2 linked regions of the Saccharomyces cerevisiae S288C genome follow. The protein of the gene in region 1 interacts with the protein of each later gene in a pairwise test. Each region holds a gene or a part of one and is shown on either strand. Other genes may lie near its edges.

Region 1 (3,028 bases):
GTTTGCTGTCGTCGCAAGAGATTGATGTTGCTTATTTTGCTATAACAGCACCATTTTCATAATCTGAATAAGTAATATTTCAAGCCTTCTGCTAGTTGAATAATTCGTATATTTCATAGTTCATGAGCCGTTCAATTGGAACTGTACTCATTGCATCATAGCCAAAAACCGATAAATGCATTAATGTTGTCACCTCCAGGTGATTTGCTGTCTTTATGCACTAACGCGCCAATCTCGTCCCCCTAAAAAATTAAGCCGACTCATCGCCTAATAGCATATAATAATCTTCCTCGAAAAGAATATACATGCATATTTGTAAACACATATATATATACGTAAACATACATATGTATATACGTGAACGATTGTGCCCTTTAGCAAGGCCAATGTGTAAGACTGATAGGATGAAAAAGTTTTAACGTTTAATTCTCATATATACAAACTGGCTGAATATGGTTTCCATGTTGTGCTACATAATATATAGAAACTACAATAGCCGACTGCCCCTTCGAAGGAAACAAATTAGCGTTGTGTGAGCATCGCTAGTTCTACCATCCGATTTCAGAAAGTCTTGCACCGTTTTTGCCTCCTGCTTCATTAATTGATTGGATGGAAATACCACCCATCAAGTCACCCAAATCGCTGGAAATTTGCAACAGTTTTGCTGGATTATCGTAGTGAGTCGTGGCTTCAACAATAGCACATGCTAACTTCTCAGGATCTGACGATTTGAATATACCTGAACCGACGAAAACACCTTCACAACCCAATTGCATCAATAGAGCAGCGTCTGCTGGAGTAGCAACTCCACCAGCAGCAAAATTGACTACAGGTAGCTTTCCCTCTGATAGTGTTGTCTTCAGCAAGTCGACAGGGACGCGTAATTCTGTGGCCTTAGCTGCAAAATCGGATTCGGTCTTCAAATTCTCTTTATACTGCTGGATCTCCGCCTTAATCTTGGTGATGTGCTTGACGGCCTCGGAAACGTCACCGGTACCTGCTTCACCTTTGGTACGGATCATTGCAGCACCTTCGTTTATTCTTCTCAAAGCCTCACCTAGATCCTTGGCACCGCAAACAAATGGCACCTTGAAGTTATGCTTCTCAATGTGATGTGTCCAATCAGCTGGAGTCAAAACCTCGCTTTCGTCAATGTAGTCTACTTGCAGCTCTTCCAGGATCTGTGCCTCCACGAAGTGTCCAATACGGACCTTTGCCATCACCGGAATTGAAACAGCTTCCATAATTTCTTTGATCATGCGAGGATCTGACATACGGCATACTTGGCCAGACTTGCGCATGTCAGCTGGAATGCGTTCCAATGCCATTACAGCACAAGCGCCCGCTCTTTCTGCGATAATAGCCTGTTCAGGTGTGACGACGTCCATAATCACACCGCCCTTTAACATTTGGGCAAGCCCAGTTTTAACCTTGAATTCTGACATTTTTGTCTTTTTTACGATATACTTATTTTTCTATTATAGTTCCTTTCCTAGAAGGGTCGAATAATAATGTGACTATGGTGGAGAAACATACTAGTTTTATATATGTGTGTGTGTGTGTGTGAAATTCATTCCACATGAACAAATAATTCTGATCTTTCCTTGCCACAACATTTTGCCATTCAAACGATATAATGTGCCTACTACTGTTATGCCATTGGGCGGCGCGTCACTTTATTGGAAACTGTAAGAATAGTTGAGCCATCTTTCATCATTCAGCTACAAAAAAAAAAAGTTATTCATTGATAAAAGCCCATTTTTTTCTGTTTGAGTAGCAAGCACACTTACCATGACCCCGGTTGCTGGGGCCAAGACAAGAGTAATATCTCAAAAATGACCGTCGTTATCGGAGTCTTGGCATTACAGGGTGCGTTCATTGAACATGTGCGACACGTAGAAAAATGCATCGTCGAAAACAGGGATTTCTATGAAAAAAAACTATCTGTGATGACAGTGAAGGATAAAAATCAACTAGCTCAATGTGATGCATTGATCATACCTGGGGGAGAGTCGACTGCAATGTCCCTTATTGCAGAAAGAACAGGATTTTACGACGATCTCTACGCATTCGTACACAACCCAAGCAAGGTAACCTGGGGTACTTGTGCAGGTATGATTTATATTTCACAACAATTATCTAACGAAGAAAAACTGGTCAAGACGCTGAATTTACTAAAGGTTAAAGTAAAAAGAAATGCATTTGGGAGACAAGCTCAGTCTTCTACCCGGATTTGCGACTTTTCAAACTTTATTCCTCACTGCAATGATTTTCCTGCTACTTTTATAAGAGCCCCAGTAATAGAAGAGGTGCTGGATCCTGAACATGTGCAGGTCCTGTACAAATTAGATGGGAAGGATAATGGTGGTCAAGAACTAATTGTTGCCGCTAAGCAAAAAAACAATATTCTTGCGACATCATTTCATCCGGAATTGGCAGAAAACGATATACGGTTTCACGACTGGTTCATCAGAGAATTTGTTCTTAAAAACTACAGTAAATAAAAGGGACGTATAGTATAGTTATGGAGAAAGGAGATCATCACTGTTCATTCTGAACTCGCCTCATTGAAACTTACCTATTTAGTTATACCCAAATGTATTGCATATGACTTTCTTTGAAAAATCATCACCCAAAGAACTGGTGTGGCCCCACGGTTTTCTCGAGTTTTCAGTGTCCACCACCGTAGCAAAACATGATAACCAGTGCAGTCTTGGAAATTGCTCGTTAATGGCACTAACTGTATCGATATGAATCAGATCGGTATTGGATCCGACATTGTCAAGCGTAGTAGCAATCTGCAGAATGAGCCCCAAGGTGGTAATGTAGCCAGTCCCAGTCAAATCCTGGTGACGAATGATGGCCTCAGTTACTGCATCTGCGTAGTCCTGATTTCCACCTGTCGCATTAAATACAAGCTCCCTTGAAAGTATGCCACCATAATACTCAAATGACATCTTCGTGGCTCTCATATTCTTATCTGTTGTTGCAATATCATGAAGTAAGCAGGTGACGTACAAAACTTCCT
Region 2 (3,617 bases), on another chromosome or scaffold:
AGAGAAAGATGTCAAATATGCGGAGTTATACCATCAAACAACTTTGGACGGCCCCGAAACAAATGTCCGCAAAAAAGATCTTATTAAAGTGCATGGACACTATCATTTCTATAATACAAAATACTCCACCGCACAATAGTTTGTCGGGAAGTCATCAATCAATCTTGTACGAGCTTTACAAATAACTTTTTAGGATCGGTCCCCTCATAAAATTATATATAAATGGGTTAGTTTCCTTCTTCTTCTGTTAACATGAAGTTGCTTCGTACTGTTTTTTGCCTTGCTTCTCTTCAAAAGAATCAATCATGTCACAGTACGGATTTGTAAGAGTTCCTAGAGAGGTAGAAAAGGCCATTCCAGTGGTGAATGCACCTAGACCACGGGCCGTTGTTCCGCCTCCAAACAGTGAAACTGCTAGGCTTGTTCGGGAATATGCCGCTAAAGAATTGACTGCCCCCGTTCTAAACCACTCTTTGCGTGTTTTTCAATATAGTGTAGCTATCATAAGAGACCAATTTCCAGCATGGGACTTGGATCAGGAAGTTTTGTACGTCACCTGCTTACTTCATGATATTGCAACAACAGATAAGAATATGAGAGCCACGAAGATGTCATTTGAGTATTATGGTGGCATACTTTCAAGGGAGCTTGTATTTAATGCGACAGGTGGAAATCAGGACTATGCAGATGCAGTAACTGAGGCCATCATTCGTCACCAGGATTTGACTGGGACTGGCTACATTACCACCTTGGGGCTCATTCTGCAGATTGCTACTACGCTTGACAATGTCGGATCCAATACCGATCTGATTCATATCGATACAGTTAGTGCCATTAACGAGCAATTTCCAAGACTGCACTGGTTATCATGTTTTGCTACGGTGGTGGACACTGAAAACTCGAGAAAACCGTGGGGCCACACCAGTTCTTTGGGTGATGATTTTTCAAAGAAAGTCATATGCAATACATTTGGGTATAACTAAATAGGTAAGTTTCAATGAGGCGAGTTCAGAATGAACAGTGATGATCTCCTTTCTCCATAACTATACTATACGTCCCTTTTATTTACTGTAGTTTTTAAGAACAAATTCTCTGATGAACCAGTCGTGAAACCGTATATCGTTTTCTGCCAATTCCGGATGAAATGATGTCGCAAGAATATTGTTTTTTTGCTTAGCGGCAACAATTAGTTCTTGACCACCATTATCCTTCCCATCTAATTTGTACAGGACCTGCACATGTTCAGGATCCAGCACCTCTTCTATTACTGGGGCTCTTATAAAAGTAGCAGGAAAATCATTGCAGTGAGGAATAAAGTTTGAAAAGTCGCAAATCCGGGTAGAAGACTGAGCTTGTCTCCCAAATGCATTTCTTTTTACTTTAACCTTTAGTAAATTCAGCGTCTTGACCAGTTTTGCTTCGTTAGATAATTGTTGTGAAATATAAATCAAACCTGCACAAGTACCCCAGGTTACCTTGCTTGGGTTGTGTACGAATGCGTAGAGATCGTCGTAAAATCCTGTTCTTTCTGCAATAAGGGACATTGCAGTCGACTCTCCCCCAGGTATGATCAATGCATCACATTGAGCTAGTTGATTTTTATCCTTCACTGTCATCACAGATAGTTTTTTTTCATAGAAATCCCTGTTTTCGACGATGCATTTTTCTACGTGTCGCACATGTTCAATGAACGCACCCTGTAATGCCAAGACTCCGATAACGACGGTCATTTTTGAGATATTACTCTTGTCTTGGCCCCAGCAACCAGGGTCATGGTAAGTGTGCTTGCTACTCAAACAGAAAAAAATGGGCTTTTATCAATGAATAACTTTTTTTTTTTTTTGTAGCTGAATGATGAAAGATGGCTCAACTATTCTTACAGTTTCCAATAAAGTGACGCGCCGCCCAATGGCATAACAGTAGTAGGCACATTATATCGTTTGAATGGCAAAATGTTGTGGCAAGGAAAGAGCAGAATTATTTGTTCATGTGGAATGAATTTCACACACACACACACACATATATAAAACTAGTATGTTTCTCCACCATAGTCACATTATTATTCGACCCTTCTGGGAAAGGAACTATAATAGAAAAATAAGTATATCGTAAAAAAGACAAAAATGTCAGAATTCAAGGTTAAAACTGGGCTTGCCCAAATGTTAAAGGGCGGTGTGATTATGGACGTCGTCACACCTGAACAGGCTATTATCGCAGAAAGAGCGGGCGCTTGTGCTGTAATGGCATTGGAACGCATTCCAGCTGACATGCGCAAGTCTGGCCAAGTATGCCGTATGTCAGATCCTCGCATGATCAAAGAAATTATGGAAGCTGTTTCAATTCCGGTGATGGCAAAGGTCCGTATTGGACACTTCGTGGAGGCACAGATCCTGGAAGAGCTGCAAGTAGACTACATTGACGAAAGTGAGGTTTTGACTCCAGCTGATTGGACACATCACATTGAGAAGCATAACTTCAAGGTGCCATTTGTTTGCGGTGCCAAGGATCTAGGTGAGGCTTTGAGAAGAATAAACGAAGGTGCTGCAATGATCCGTACCAAAGGTGAAGCAGGTACCGGTGACGTTTCCGAGGCCGTCAAGCACATCACCAAGATTAAGGCGGAGATCCAGCAGTATAAAGAGAATTTGAAGACCGAATCCGATTTTGCAGCTAAGGCCACAGAATTACGCGTCCCTGTCGACTTGCTGAAGACAACACTATCAGAGGGAAAGCTACCTGTAGTCAATTTTGCTGCTGGTGGAGTTGCTACTCCAGCAGACGCTGCTCTATTGATGCAATTGGGTTGTGAAGGTGTTTTCGTCGGCTCAGGTATATTCAAATCGTCAGATCCTGAGAAGTTAGCATGTGCTATCGTTGAAGCCACGACTCACTACGATAACCCAGCAAAACTATTGCAAGTTTCCAGCGATTTGGGTGACTTGATGGGTGGTATTTCCATCCAATCAATTAATGAAGCAGGAGGCAAAAACGGTGCAAGACTTTCTGAAATCGGATGGTAGAACTAGCGATGCTCACACAACGCTAATTTGTTTCCTTCGAAGGGGCAGTCGGCTATTGTAGTTTCTATATATTATGTAGCACAACATGGAAACCATATTCAGCCAGTTTGTATATATGAGAATTAAACGTTAAAACTTTTTCATCCTATCAGTCTTTCACATTGGCCTTGCCTAAAGGGCACAATCGTTCACGTATATACATATGTATGTTTACGTATATATATATGTGTTTACAAATATGCATGTATATTCTTTTCGAGGAAGATTATTATATGCTATTAGGCGATGAGTCGGCTTAATTTTTTAGGGGGACGAGATTGGCGCGTTAGTGCATAAAGACAGCAAATCACCTGGAGGTGACAACATTAATGCATTTATCGGTTTTTGGCTATGATGCAATGAGTACAGTTCCAATTGAACGGCTCATGAACTATGAAATATACGAATTATTCAACTAGCAGAAGGCTTGAAATATTACTTATTCAGATTATGAAAATGGTGCTGTTATAGCAAAATAAGCAACATCAATCTCTTGCGACGACAGCAAACAAAACATATAAAAACCTCGTATTATCATCTTCATGAACAATATTCTTG

What was found.
Region 2: the proteins of SNO2 (region 1) and SNZ3 interact in a two-hybrid assay, tested with the Saccharomyces cerevisiae proteins (2 studies listed by BioGRID).

What each region holds. Positions count from the first base shown.
Region 1 is NC_001146.8:11,684-14,711, reverse strand, and holds SNO2 (putative pyridoxal 5'-phosphate synthase), read left to right. Parts: upstream 1-1,835; coding exon 1,836-2,504; downstream 2,505-3,028. Other genes in the region: pyridoxine biosynthesis protein SNZ2, read right to left, coding at 549-1,445; DDI2 (cyanamide hydratase), read right to left, coding at 2,583-3,028. UniProt on the Saccharomyces cerevisiae protein: Catalyzes the hydrolysis of glutamine to glutamate and ammonia as part of the biosynthesis of pyridoxal 5'-phosphate. The resulting ammonia molecule is channeled to the active site of a SNZ isoform.
Region 2 is NC_001138.5:9,240-12,856, forward strand, and holds SNZ3 (pyridoxine biosynthesis protein SNZ3), read left to right. Parts: upstream 1-2,123; coding exon 2,124-3,020; downstream 3,021-3,617. Other genes in the region: DDI3 (cyanamide hydratase), read left to right, coding at 306-983; SNO3 (putative pyridoxal 5'-phosphate synthase), read right to left, coding at 1,062-1,730. UniProt on the Saccharomyces cerevisiae protein: Catalyzes the formation of pyridoxal 5'-phosphate from ribose 5-phosphate (RBP), glyceraldehyde 3-phosphate (G3P) and ammonia. The ammonia is provided by a SNO isoform.